Linked DNA regions of Caenorhabditis elegans. The protein of the gene in region 1 purifies or fractionates together with the protein of each later gene. This does not show direct contact. Each region holds a gene or a part of one and is shown in the gene's direction. Other genes may lie near its edges.

The links.
Region 2: the proteins of hrg-11.4 (region 1) and rbg-1 fractionate together in Caenorhabditis elegans (co-fractionation; one large-scale study listed by BioGRID). This does not show direct contact.

Annotation. Positions count from the first base shown.
Region 1 is NC_003284.9:421,655-429,595, reverse strand, and holds the start of hrg-11.4 (VWFA domain-containing protein), read left to right. Parts: upstream 1-3,960; 5' UTR 3,961-3,970; coding exon 3,971-4,067; intron 4,068-4,406; coding exon 4,407-4,596; intron 4,597-5,527; coding exon 5,528-5,770; intron 5,771-5,867; coding exon 5,868-6,119; intron 6,120-6,373; coding exon 6,374-6,453; intron 6,454-6,500; coding exon 6,501-6,646; intron 6,647-6,904; exon of another isoform or gene 6,905-6,949; coding exon of another isoform or gene 6,950-7,684; intron 7,685-7,737; coding exon of another isoform or gene 7,738-7,872; exon of another isoform or gene 7,873-7,889; intron 7,890-7,941. Other genes in the region: Homeobox protein dve-1, read left to right, coding at 91-253, 304-603, 909-1,056, 1,597-1,775, 1,826-1,909; col-19 (Cuticle collagen 19), read right to left, coding at 6,950-7,684, 7,738-7,872.
Region 2 is NC_003284.9:14,980,104-14,987,051, forward strand, and holds the start of rbg-1 (Rab3 GTPase-activating protein catalytic subunit), read left to right. Parts: upstream 1-3,429; 5' UTR 3,430-3,457; coding exon 3,458-3,592; intron 3,593-3,650; coding exon 3,651-3,740; intron 3,741-3,816; coding exon 3,817-3,969; intron 3,970-4,017; coding exon 4,018-4,136; intron 4,137-4,182; coding exon 4,183-4,273; intron 4,274-4,340; coding exon 4,341-4,481; intron 4,482-4,530; coding exon 4,531-4,613; intron 4,614-4,668; coding exon 4,669-4,817; intron 4,818-4,864; coding exon 4,865-5,067; intron 5,068-5,124; coding exon 5,125-5,483; intron 5,484-5,530; coding exon 5,531-5,661; intron 5,662-5,708; coding exon 5,709-6,160; intron 6,161-6,372; coding exon 6,373-6,648; intron 6,649-6,705; coding exon 6,706-6,917; intron 6,918-6,948. Other genes in the region: plp-2 (DUF3467 domain-containing protein), read right to left, coding at 2,037-2,520, 2,607-2,701. UniProt on the Caenorhabditis elegans protein: Probable catalytic subunit of a GTPase activating protein that has specificity for Rab3 subfamily. Rab3 proteins are involved in regulated exocytosis of neurotransmitters and hormones. Specifically converts active Rab3-GTP to the inactive form Rab3-GDP.

The DNA of each region.
Region 1 (7,941 bases):
GATTTTCTTTTCATTCCACTCTCAAGAAAGATAAACGCCTGCTTTCATATTACTTTCAGTACACATAATAATGTATGTATTTAATTTCAGCCCAACACAAGTACAAAGATTCAACACTCTTTACGAAATTCCACGTCTTGATAAATGGTTCAAATCCGATGCAAATCCATCTAAACAAAAAATGAACAATTACTTAAGCCAGCTCAATCAGAGTCCGTTCAGAAAGAACAATTCCAAGATCAGCTATCAACAGGTGAATTTAATGCGCCTACATATTACTCCATTAATCAAATGAATTTCCAGATTTGCAATTGGTTCACACAAAAACGCTCGAGTTCCCGTACCTTAGCTCCAGTAGACCTAGTGCAGGTCTCGTCAGCTCAGACAGCGGCGCAGCTGCTCCCGGGATTCCAACTCAACTTGCTCCAGTCCCTGTTTGGAGAACAACGTCAAAAATTTGATTTTTACGACAAACTGGATGAAACCAAGATTGTCGGCGGCTCCGACTCGCCATCTCCAGCCGATGATGAGATTCATAGCAATTCAGATGAAACTATTCAAGATACTTTGTTTTCCATCAATATTAAACCAGAACCGGAAATTGTAAGTTACGTTTGACTGTTTGTGCCATAGTTAGGTTGATTAGCGTTGCTCGTGCTGAAAAGCTTTGAAAAATCACGCTAAAAACGGATTTTCGGCTATTTCGATTCTGATTCACATTAAAGATAACATCTCCCAAATTGCTAAATATTACCGATAAGGTTATAAAGACCTAACACTACGGCCGAAAATCTGAATTTATTCCAAACTGTCAGCGTCGGCTGAGCGCCAATTAAAAATATTTTTCGACACAATTATGGTCCACCTTTAAAAATTATTCATCCCAAAACAAGCAACATTTCCTACAGGATTCAATTGCATCCTCCCCGGATATGGCAAACTCAATGCGCGAATCATTGTCCTCGACCTCCCCAAAGCTTCTCAGCGGGCTCGACCTCGGAGCATTCAGCACCCACTCATCATCCACCAACTCCATGCAAAACGCCAACTCATCAGGTACAACAAAGAGCTTTAAAACAGACAGGCTAACGGAAAAGAGAGGGAGATGGGTTGAACCAAGAACTCATAAATTAGAAGCGAGCACACACACACAAACACACATAGACATACACAAAGTGCGCGAAGACACATAACAAAGGGAGAAATGTGGGGCGTCGAATTTCGCACAGACAACCATTACGATCACTGAGATCTGAGGAAAAAAAAATGAGGCTAGGTATTGTGTTTACAGAAATAAAACAGAAAATCAACTGCAAACTTGATTTTGAGAAATATTCTAGGGATTTTGTACTGGCTCAAACTTATCGAGAAGGTGGCCATGTTCATGATACTCAGTCTGAAAACCTATATTGGTTGCTATCTCTAAAACGCTCTTAGATTGCGTTTGCTATGCATATGAAAAATGACTGCATAAAAATTCTCTATCTTTTCGACAAGAAAACTTTAAGGTGGAATTTTACTTCTATTTTTCGATAAAATCACTGACGCGGAACGTTTGAAAAAATTCAACGATAAAGCAAATAATCTCCGTTTTAGTGTTTTCAGCGGCTCGCTCACGCCTGATGTTCGACCCACTCACCGAGCTACCCGTCCTCGAAAAATGGTTCGAAGAGAATCCTCACCCGACATGGATGCAAATCGATCAGTACACACAATGCTTGAACAACTGCGCTTATCGAGAGAATTATCCGCATATTAGTCAGCACAATGTGAAGGTAATATTCTATATTAATACTGATTACTAGTTATCGAATTCGAATTGCAGATCTGGTTCAAAAATCGACGTGCAAAATGCAAGCGATTGTTGAATGGAATGCAGGAAAAGCTTGAGCAGAAGGTTTTCGTATAAAATTAAAATTTCCAACTTTTTTCAAAATCTTATTATCTTTAATTTCGAAAGAACATTAAGTTTTTCACATCAATAGTTCCTTCTTTAACCGTCATACTGGTGTACCCCTTGAATTCCTGATCTTCAGTGCCCCACAATTTCTCTTCAACGAAGAGCAAAATCACTACTTCATTTTTCATTCCAGCTGTGATTTTTGTCTGTAAGCTACACCTAATCGCTAGCTGTATATCTCGACGCATCTTTCGTTCTGCAAAACTTCTAGTCGCTTCTTGTCTTGTTTAACCTTGATGGGAAATTAAGCCGGCTTTAATTTCCTTCTTTCTTTCAATCAACAATTTCCCATCGCTTTCTTTGTCTCTTTCAATGTTCCACAGATCACATAGTTTTAATGGTTTTTCAATGTTTCCCTTCTTACCGTCACACTACTTTCCAATATTATTCATCTTAATTTTATGTCTACCACTTCCAATATCAATCTTGCCCACCGTTTTCTCAATTTTTTTTGTCAAATTTAAACTTTTCTCTGCTTTTCAGTTGTGCTTCAGCCCTTTATATGCCAAAAACTTTTATTCAGAATTTTGACATACAACCACGTTTATTTCTTTTTATTTGAATGTTTTGAGAAATAAAGTTTTTTTTTTCAGAAAAAAAATTTTACAAAAAATGGTCAATTTTTTATTTAAAAAATTGGCACACAAAAATAAAAACAGACATGATTGTAGGAGAAAATTTTCAGACTTTTCAAGAAATTATAACTTTTAAAAAGCTATTTTTGGAGAAAAAAGCTCCCTATTTTAACAATAAAGTTTTGAGCCATTTCACGCGTGCACCAAAAAAAATGTCTGAGAAAAATGTCAGGGGTACGAGTTGAGTTTTCCTTTTCAAATTTTTTGTAAAAAAATATTCAGAACACTATCTAGAGCGACAAAAAACTTGGTTGGTGAAAACTCGTTCTAAAATCTGGCACTGAAGTTACTTCCTTCCGCTAACAACTTGTCAGGTGCAATCTAAGTTTCGACTAAAAAAAACAATTATTATTTCAAAGCTGGATAATTTATTCGAATTTTCGAAATATTGCAGAACTGAAAAGAAAAGAAGTTTTCCATAAACTTGGATTGTCAGTCAAATCTTGCAAGGACGTACACGTTGTAGGTTTGCCTTGGAAGAGGTCGTCCACTTCAACATGCAGTCCAGTTATACTCACTAGGAAAGTAATTTAACTCACTTTCAGACTTTCAAATTGAATTTATAAGAACTTAAAGCGGGTTTTCATCAAAAAATAACAATGGAATATAAAGAAGTCGATTTGATATTCTCCGAGCACGTTTTCACTGCTTTTGTAACGTTTGCAACTATTACAAATGAGGAAGTTTGCAATTTTGTAATGCTTTTAATAAAGTCTAAAAATAGGCAAAACAATTTAATAAATTTTTTTTTTTAAATATTTCAGAATTTTTGTTCAGCCTAAAACGTCTTAACAATTGCCTCAAAATCTTTTTAAAGCAGTTTTATTTATACTTTTGCGGAAACTTTGCAATAATCCTATAAATAGCATAAATAAACATTTTTTAAAGTGAAAACAAAGTTTCATTGGTGGTTTAAAAAATTTATAAAGCTTTATAGAACGTTGCCAGTGTAATACAACTGTTAAAACATAACTCACTTGAATAAATCACATGAAAAATTGTTTGATTAATAAAAAAACTTGTAAGTAACAAAAAACCTGCAAGTTCTCGACTGTAAAAACAACAGCTGGAAGCAAAGTGGAACGCTTAACCATTTTTATTTCTGTTTCCCACTGTCTTTTCCAGAAGTTCCTGAAATGTAAACATTTTAAACTGAATTTTCACAACACATCAACCTCTGCTCTATTCGAATTCTAGATGAGAACAACTTGCCAATGGAAGAGTATAATCGCATTATCAGTGACAACTAATTTAAGAGCCTCAATTGGATAAACTAACTTTTTCAAACAAAAAAAACCTGATAACAATTTTATTTAGTTTTATTTAATTATTACATTAAGAAATATCTTCTAAATAAAGACGATTTTTCAGTAAAATGCTCAAATTTGTAATTACAAGTATTCTACTACTGCGGGTCTGTAGTGGAGTAAGTATTCCCAATAAAAGTCAACACGGCGAACTAACGAAAAGCTGTAAGTTTAAGTAAAAAACACGTAAAATTGAAAATATTGGCAAAAGTTTGACATATTGAAAAAACACAGCAGGCTTACTTAAAAATGTTTACATCATAAGTTCTGGTCCGAGTCACAACTACACGAAAGGTATTGAGCTCACTTTTGTGCTTCTAGCGGGAATTTTTATTTGATGAATTAAATAACCAACTAAGAACAATTTTTTCAAGAGTGAATTTGGTGGAAACGCCAGTGGATTCTCTTTCTGGCTAGGCCAAGCCAACACATTTAATAGAACCTCTTCAAATCTTTACAGAAAACGTTTTTTGACCAGTTTTAGCCAGAGGGATTAAATTTCAGTGAATTCGAAACTCAAACAACTTGTTGCACTAAATCTATCGGAACCTTCTCAACGGGTTCAACCTACCTTCTCTTCAAGACCGAAACTGTTGGATCAAACCTCTCCAGTGACATGCTACAATAAGTCAATTGATATACTGCCTCATGACGGTACTGCAAAATTTGGTGATTTAGTGGAGAGTGATTTCAGGTATACATTTTTAGTAGGGAATATTGTAGAAAATCGTGGAGTGCTCGGAGATTGCTAACCAGCAGTTCTAAAAATTGAGCCTGTGGGACATTTTCACTCAGTGTTTTCATTAAAATTTAGGAATAGAATCTGGAAAATGTTAATTCTAGTTAAAGGTGGAGTGGCGCCAGTGGGGAAATTTCTTTAAAACACGCCTATGGTACCAAAATGACCGAATATCATGATAAAAAAATGCAAAAATTTTTTCTAATTTTAAAATTTGAAAATTGAAAAAATCTCAGTTTTTGCCTAATTCCGATTTGAGTTTACGCCAATTGGATTTGTTCGATGGAGCGCACTTGCACGTTTTAATTTTAATTTATTGTTATTTTGTCATATTTTTCACCAATTTTCCATGTTTTCAATGTAGTTTTGTCTGAAATTTGACGAAAAAGTCAAAATAAATGCTAATTTTTGATTAAAAAGCTAATTCACAAGCGTGAGTCTGTGAAATCTGTAAATTCAAGTTCGAAATCGTTTAAATGCATGCATTTTCTTTCAAAATAACAATAAATTAAAATTAAAACGTGCAAGTGCGCTCCATCGAACAACTTCAATAGGCGGAAATTCAAATCGGAATTAGGCAAAAACTGAGATTTTTTTCAATTTTCAAAAAATCATATAAAATTTAGAAATTTTTTTTGAATTTTTTAATCATGATATTCGGTTATTTTGGTACCATAGGCGTGTTTTAAAGTACTCGAAAAAAAATACTCGAAAATTGTCAAAAACGTGAAACTTGTTGTTGATAGTAAAATTGCCATTTTTCATTTTTCCGGTTTCTATTTGCGATTTAATAATAATCTAAAACTCTATCTGGATTTTCATTACGTTATTCGAGAACCAATACCAGATTAATAACATGTTTCATAATACATACACATATCTTCAGTGCGACTTGCTCCGACACTTTCACTTTTTACGTCGACAATTTTATCGAAGAGTTCTTTGTAATTATCAATACACTCGACGCCCTCAATCCGCGGGCAACAGTTTATAATCCGATTGGAGGCGAAGTGTCCACATGCAAAGATATCACCACGGACGTCACTCAAACAATTCACCTTATCTGCAACGGAAAGAATGTTCACGGAACTGGAGCGTATACGGTTCAGCTCTCTGCAGATTTGAACAAGTGAGCACACAATTAAAACAAGATGACCCAAATTGTGAAAAAAAAATCAAAAAAAGACTCTTGAAATCTTATCTCATTTAAAAATAAAATCATTCAGACCGTGTATATTTGAAGTCCGAGCTCCAACAAAGCTGACAGTTGATGGTGGGTTTGTAGAGGATGTTCGTGACGATGACGTTCAGAAAGTAATATTTTCCACTGCAAATCAAGGAATATTCCGTTTCCCACTTGAAAATCAGGCAGCATTTTTAGCATTTAAAGTCGAGAGTGAAGAATTTCCAATTCATCCCGATGAGGTGCATCTTTATGTAAACGGCCTATTCGATCAGAAAATGGATTTGAACTTGAGGTGAATGTTTGAGAGTGATAAAAATTTGGAATTGAGTAATTTTTTTCTACATTATTCAATAGAATCAATTTTTCTACATTATTCAATTTTGGATGATCCAAAAAAATTGAAGGAAAGTAAACTTTTTTCTGTTGAAAAAAATACATGTTTATATTGCAGAAGCATTTTTTAATTCAAAAATAAAGCCTGAACATTTAGATTTAACAAAGATGAATCATGAACATAATTGCTTTGGCAGAAAAACCATTTTTCAGATACGGCTGCAGTACCCCTCATATCACTCAACAATCTTATAACTGTACGTCTCAAAACTTGTATCATGCCAAGTTCAGAGGTATTTCTCCTTTCTATTTTCTCCCTTCTCTCATTGTCGGTTTCTAGGATACGATAGTGATGGAAACAGGTTCCAGAGAATCTACGACTTTAGCTGTGACCTAAGTGAAATTACATTCACAACACCTTCCGTGCACGTTTCGACGACGCCAGCAAGGTTTTGTGAAAATGGAGGAATTCTGTATAATGAAACGGTACGTAGGTGGCTTTATTTTCAGGTGGACTGGGGCTGCCCGGCAAAAAAATTTTTTTAACTGGACTATATTTCGAAGGACAATCTTGGTATAATTTTCTATTTTGGTAAATAATTCTAGTAGTTGGTTTTTAGAGTTGGTTTTTAAAAAGTGTTCCAAATTAAAAAAAAAAAGAAATTTGCCAGATTTGAAAAGCTGAAGTATTTTGATTTGCATGTGAAATTGCAATTTAAAAAAAAGTGCAGAAACAGAACACAATTTGGAATGTTCGAAAATTTATAAAAAAGACAGAGAAAGGCAGAATTAAGCCTTGTAAGCTGCACGAGATGGGCATGGACAATATCCAGCATCTGGTCCTGGTGCGGCATCCTCTCCCTTTTGTCCTGGAACTCCATTCTTTCCTGGATGCCCTGGTGGTCCTGGTCTTCCGGCGTTTCCGTTCTTTCCAGCCTCTCCATCGTTTCCTGGTGCTCCTGGATTTCCGGCTGGTCCGGTTTCTCCGCGTGGTCCTTGTGGTCCTGGACGTCCTGGCTGTCCTGGCTTGTACTCGGTTCCTGGTTCTCCACGTGGTCCTGCTGGTCCTGGACGTCCGGCGGCTCCTGGTCTTCCTGCATCTCCCTGTGGTCCTTGCTCTCCTGGTCCTCCAACTGGTCCTGGTGGTCCGCGTCTTCCGTTTCCTCCGGCTGGTCCAGCAGATCCTGGAAGTCCTGATGGTCCTTTTGGTCCTGGACGTCCTGGTGGGCACTTGATGCATCCTCCTGGAATATCGTGGGTGATGGCAACAATAACTCCAGGAGCTCCTGGCTTTCCATCGTCTCCATCGTGTCCTGGATTTCCCTTCTGTCCACCCTCTCCTGGTGGTCCTGGTGGTCCAGCTGGGCAACCCTCGGATTTTGGTCCGCAGTTACATTGCTCGAATCCAGCTTGACGAGCGGTACGGGCTCCGAAGAGAGTCTCAAAGGTTGGTGGAGCATTTGTGTGTCCGGTTGGGTTGATGTGCTTGCTCACCATACGAGCCCAGGTGTCTTGGGTGATAGCCTGAACACAAAGTGAATTGATAACAACACTAACTTCCTTTATGTAAAACTTACTCTAAATTCAACCATACCATCCTGGAACTCAACTTGAAGCTCCTCGATCTCATTGAGAAGGTTTCCGATGGTGTAAAGCGAGGCAAGAACGCACACAAGTACTCCGCAGGATCCAACCACAATGAGCTTGCCCATGTTGATGAACTGATGTCTTTCTAAATGGTGACCGTTTCCTTTTATACTGAAAGTTGCTGAGAAAGCGAA
Region 2 (6,948 bases), about 15 Mb from region 1:
AAAATGATGAGCAGTGCTAATGAAGCTTTTACACTATACTGGAACTGTGTTAGATAGGAAATTCAATTCAGTTTCAGACTTTTCAAATAAAATTGGTTTAGGTCTCGAAGAGATTAACTCAAATTGACAACAGTTTTTGTTGCTACTTTTCTTATAATAGCATAGTATCAAGAAATTTTTTATTTCGAAAAATTTTAGTTTTGCTTTACAGTGAATTATATTGCTCATGAAACTTCCATATACTGGCATTTCAGGTTAAAATTTTTGAACAAAAACATGACTATCTAAGAGTGAGCAAAATGTGTTGTTTATTTAAATAATCAAATAATAAAGCGGTGCAAAAACTGAAGCAATATTACAAATGTTGATTACGTTGTGAGTAGTAATAGGCTCATTTTAGGGTGGTATGAGAGAAAACGATCCTATTATGAGAAACACGCCTTTTATCCTTTTTTGACGGCGGCGTGTACCAGAGCCAGAAGTTTCGTGAGTTTTTTTGCGAGCCACAATTTTGAAACTAGTCTTCAAATCTTTTCCGTCAATTTAAACCATCAATTTTTCAGATGTTCTGTAGCGGTGAAGGATCAGAACCTGGAAGTGACTACGAAGCAATGATCAATACAGTTGCTGAAAACTCTCGAATGTTTTCAATACATTTTAACTGTAACAATTCTAGTCGTCTTTACAACCGTCGAACTAGTTTATGATTGTTTTTTCAACCTGTGATTAATTATTTAACTCTAATTATCTTTTCCTTAATTCAAACTTCCACAAGAATTCAGTTATGAATAACATTTTCCAATATTTTATTCAATTTCTTATGTAAAGAAATGAAATCATTTAGCAATCCTTATGTCTTCATCTGCTTCTTGACCCACATCAGACCTTCGTAGAGACCTTGTCCAGAGTGAGTGTTTGTACCACAGATGAACCACTGAAAAGCCAATTGTATTATCATAATGTCACAAGATTTTGGCATTCCTTTTAGGTATATATATCCTATAGATTATGAGGTCTACAAAACAATACAACTATTTACCTCTCTATTCTTGAGTGAACCCAAATCAAGCAGCTGAGTCAGCTCGGCTGGTGATCTTGCATTCGGCATATCCTGCTTGTTTGCAAAGACAAGCAGATGAGAATCCGCAAGCTCTGGCTCGGCGAGCAAACTGAACAATTTTTCCTTTGCCTCGGGAATCCGCTCAATATCCGAACTGTCCACCACAAACACTAATATCTGAAATTAAACAATTTTTGTTGTATAATTCCTCTTGATAATTACTGTGGTATTTGGAAAGTAGTGTTTTAGTATCTGACCTCCAACATCCCAAACAATGAGAGTGAGTTTTTGGAAGGTAACAGTCTCCACGTTGAATCCTTCAAACAAATACTCAAGTATGAAAACACTTAAAAAGTGAACAAACCAATGGTTGGAATTGTATTGACTGTCTTATTAAGCTTCAGCTTATAGAGAATAGTCGTTTTTCCGGCTCCATCTCAACCGAGCATCAATGTACGACATTCGATATTTGGAAACATGAAGGAAGAAATTTTAGAGAAGAATAAGCCCATTTTGAACGAAAAATACTTTTTGAAAATGCAGAATACGATATTCTTGAAGCTATGTCGACAATCAGAGTTATTTTATCATGGAGTTATCATGGGGCTCCACGTTCCAGCTAGTGAGTTGGCCGTTTTTTGCGTGTTTTAATTTCTGTTGGAAGAAAGTTATTACGAAATATTTGTTCACTTAGTCAGACCCGCCCTTTTCTGGTTTCGCAACAGGTGTTTGATAAGGAAACGTAACTTTCCCTGGCAAGAATAACTATAATATTAATAATTAAGACACGAATTTCCCGAGAATTTATTAGAGATCAATAAACTTGATGCTTAAATAAATAAATAAACGAAACAGGTAGAGTGAAAATACAGGAACACAGCAGTTTAGAAAAATAGGTAAAATCTTTACAAGCAAATGCAGTAAAGATTTGGAGGAATTTTTTGGGAGACTATCGAGTTCGAAAGATGTTATGCAATTACGATTGTTTTTTTGCAGAGAAAACATGTAGATCACTACTTTCCTTGGTTGGCGATGATGTTATCCAACTCTTTGCGGAAATCGACGAGTGCGGACATTGGAACGGTGATTGCGTTACGATAGCCGCTGTTGAGTTTGATCTGAATATAAAATTAGAATAAACTTCTATTTGACACAAAATTATTTCCTCCGAGATGCGAACAAACTCTCCACGATCGTTCTTTCCGGAATGGAAAAGGAACGTTCTGTTTTCAGCAGTGATTTTTGGAGTGTTGGTGTTCTCCTGTTCGTGTCCCTCTCCGAACTTGGCCAAATATTCGGTTAGCACCTTATGAATTTCGGCGATTCCATCGGATGGAATGGCGATTTGTTGGCGAGTTTGACGTGGGTTCATCGGAGCAATGCGCAAAAAGCGACCACGATCATTTTCCTTCAGATCGACGTAGAATTTTCTCTGATTTGATGAGAGAGCTTTCCTTTGGCTGAAATTTAATATTGCATTAAAAATGTGAATTTATTTTCGGCAATCAAAACTTAAGTGTCACGTGGCAACAGACCATAAGCTTACCTGCAATACGGGCTTCTGGACTCCCCTTGCGGCTTTCGCGCTCCATTGATAATCGCTTGCCGTACACCGCGTGGAAAAGCGCGTGTACTCCACATGGGTAAATATTTTCATTTTATTTACAATAAACTTGTTTAAAAGCTGCAGATTTTGCTCGAAATTTTACGCGACTTCAAATTGGGTAATTGAACCAACGATATACTCGGATCAACAGACATATTTTTTTTTTTTGGGAAAGTTTTTTTTTGAGTAGAATGGACTGCAAAAAGGGTGCATTTAAGTTCAAATTACTTAGTTTTTAATTTACCGTGATTTTATTTCATAAAACAAAGTTAGATTTTCCAAACATGTTCGCTTTCAAAAATTAGTTTTTTTTAAAATTCATGTTCACATTTTAATTTAGGTCATCAGTATTTTTGACTTTTGTCAAAAATAAAAACAGTCGGTACTCTGATTACAACCCTTGATGGAATGTTTTCTAGAAAAAAATGTATCGGATTTTTGCAAAACAAGCACGAAAACAAATAACAAAGTACTCGAAACTTTGGTCAAAACACTTTTTTTTCCTAGATGTGTCCAAATTTTCAACAGTTCAGCAGCAAACACAGCTTGGTAATTTTTGAAGTTTTTCATACATAGACTTTTTCTTAATAAACGATTTCTGTTTTTTTTTCCTTATGAAAGCAACCGAAAAATCGATATAAACCACCTCACACCTCTCAGGCCCATCCGTCCTTCCCCCTTCTTTTGTTTACGTGCTGACGTCACAATGCAATTGCGCTCTATTGAACGTCTATCGTCTCACGAGACCATTCTCATTTTGCAGTGCCAAACCTTCATTTCCTGTCGTTCCAATGGCGGAAATCGAGGAAAACACAGTTTTCGAGATAAATGACTTCACAATTGTCACCGATATGGAGCACTTCGGTGCAGCATTTGAAGGAATTCTTCAGAAATACGAGTTTTCCAGTCGCCGACCGTGTTTATCGGTGAGTTTTTTGAGTTTTTGTTTTTTTCAAACATTAATCAGTAAAAATTTATGTTCAGAATGATGTGAAGTACCGGTTGATTGTGACGGACACAAATATGATTTCGATTGGAGAGAACAAGCTAAGAATCGAGTTATTGCAGCCAGTTGTGAGTTTTTTGCAAAATGAACAAGAAACTATATAAACTAAATATAAAAATTATAAAATGCAAAAAAGTTTTTCAGCCAGCTTCATCGAATCCTTCAAATGACGTGGAGTTTGTGGAAGCTCCAAAAGATGAGATTGAAGAAGACGCCCACGTTATTCCATTCACTGTTGCCGAGGAAGTTGCCAACCTCAAGCATGGATTCGAAGTCACCGATAGCTTTTTGCTAAAGGTTAGTGTTTTGAAAATCGAAATGAACAATTAAACTTTAAAATTTCAGTTTGGCATTCGCGAATGCATTATCATCTCTCCAAATGACAGCTCTGGTACATTCACCGACGAGAATCAAGTGAACACCGTTATGGGAAATATCAAAACAATATTGCACTCAAGTAGATGGTATGTGAAACTGTGATTTGTTATTAATTTGGTTTTTAAATTCCAGTGAGGTCCCAGTGTTCTGCTACATCAAGGACCAAAGCTTGGACATGATTTCTGGGTACGCGTCGGATGGAAATTCTACGTATAACTTTTCGGTGAGTTTTTATTTATGAATATAGCTTTTTTTATTTAAAAATGCCTATCACAACAAAATATTTGCAGTCCGTTGTTCTCCGAAACATTAACCGAAGACACTGCAGTATGACCGATCTGCTTTACTTGTTCAAAGAGCATCTTGGAGCTAGCATCTCGGCGTTTCATGAGGAAGTTCGCATGAGCTCTAGATTCACACATGTTGTTCCGGTAGGAAGCGTTGGCTCATTTTCTTAAAATTGTAATGTATAATTTTCAGTTGAAACAAAGTAAGTATTTCCGGAATCATACTGTCGAAACTTTTGGTCTTCTCGCGACTGGACCAACATCAAGTTTGCCGTTGTAAGAACTCGAACTCAAACTTTCAAACTGAAAAAAAAAACAATTAAAATTTCAGCGATATACTTGAAATTGCTGCCACGTGGCGTTTCTTCCGTGAAAACTCATTGACTGAGAACCATAGTCATTCAGATTTTGATATCAACTATTCTTCGTATTGGAATATCAAAATGAAGTCGACTAAAAGTTCATTGCTGGGAGTACTTGGTGAGCTACACTTATCTGATTAATTGTGAACTAACAATATTTTTTAGATGAAATTCTTGGCGTCTACCGAGAAGACACCAGAAAAGCAATCCGTAGCGACCTTAATTGTGCACTGATTCTTGGGAAACACTACACACAAAAAGAGCTTCCAAATGCATTCCAAAAGCTCACTATCAACTCAGCGTCTGAGGTGAAAATTGGGAAGCATGCAGAGACGGAGGATAGTGGAACCAATGGACCAATGCCGCCGGTTAGTTAAACGACAAAATTTTCTAGTGGTAAACGTAATTATCCTATTCATTTTCAGGCTCTGATGAAATCTTGGGTCAACTTCATCTTCAACGAAGCGGAGTCCGACAACGAGTCCTTGGCTCACGAGCTCAATATGTTGAATGCTGCTAGTATGTCGGAGAACCAATTGTCAGATGACGAGCTGGTGAACAACGTCAAGTTGGATACTCTTTTCAATTATAAGAATCCCAAATCAGCGAACACCTTCCTTGCTCCGTACAAGTGTGCAAAGAAGTCAACTGTTACATGGAGATTGGCAATTGCCTTGGCAAATGCGAGAGTTTTTATGAGTGATCAACCACGTGCCGAGCCGCAGTTATGGGTTGAGTTTCTGCTGAAACTTCGCGAGAAGTACGAGAAAATGGAAACTGTCGAGTAAGCAAGGTTCAGTTGTAAAAATGGTAATTAGCAATGTTTTTCAGAAAAGTCTACAACGGAATTGATCACTTGCAATGCTCATTTTCACAGAAAATGCAAATGCTCCAGTTATGCATTGATGCTCGCCAGAAGCGCCACAGAATGCTTGACTCTGCTCATAGTGCCAATAATTCTGGTAAGTTTCAGACACCACTAGTGCAAAAGTTAGAAATCTAGTTTCAGATGAATTCTTTGACGCGAATGAAAGTTTCAATGCTGAAACAATTCTTGAACCGAACAACGAAGGACGCCTCAAACTATTTGGACTGAACCTTGTCGAGATTCCAGACGTGCCCATGTATATTCCAGTCACACAAGATGCTTGCCCACTCACTGATGAGATGATAGATGCTCGAAATGAGCACCTGTTCAGTCTTGACGAGGAAGATCGCGTGCACCTGCAAATGGAACTTGTGAAAAGTGATATGCAAAGCTTCAAGGCTGCAAATGCTGGAGCTGTTTTTGCTGACTTTCTGAGATGGCATTCGCCAAAAGATTATGATGAGAAAACAAATACAATCTCAGAGAGAATGTTGATTTCTAATAATGTGTGGGTGAGAAGCTGGGAAGCTGCACTACCGATTCCGGTGGCCAATCAAGCAAGGATTTTCAATGACACAAAAATTGCAGAAGAGGTTTGTGTAAAACTTTGGAATTCTTGAGAACTGAACTTGAAATTTAAGTTTTTGTCTGACGCATTTTTTTGCAATCGTTCGTTTATACGGTGTAGGTGTCTATTTTACAGTACTTATGCGGCCGGAAGGTATATTTCTTATCAGAGTAAATATTTTGTCTTCTACCTTCGGGTAGATAATTTCGGTTCAATGGACATCGTTTATTTTTTCAGATACTCGAAATATTCAACAACGCAACTCTCGATCAAGTTCGCGAATGGATGAAGCCAACCGTGTTTGCAGCCACGTTAGAACGCCTCACAGAAATCGAGAGCAGCTATGGCGTGTCTGAGGAGAAACAAAAGCAGCGGACCAAGACAGCCAAAATTCTAGCAAACGCGACGCTCAACAACACTCCAATGGATTACAATGAAATTTCCAAGTACTGTAGCCAGATCGAAATGATTCATAACATGAAGGTCCACTTGATGCAACTTTTCGAAAATGCTGTGAGTTTGGAATTTTTTGGGTTTTCATTTGATTTCTTTTATAAGTTAAATCTTCAGAGAGAAAAAATGCACCCGCCATATCCATCGGAAACTGATGTTCAAAGCGCAATCAAACAATTGGTGAACATTGCTGTACATAACCTTTGGGATAATTCTACTGATGAGGAGCCGACGTTTGTCATCAAGCCACAGGATCCGATTGGAAGAGCTATAGCTGTAATTGGAAAACTTGATGAGCTCACGGAGCAGCAACTGATTAATGGGCACAGGTAATGAGCACTATAATCCTTGATCCTGAAT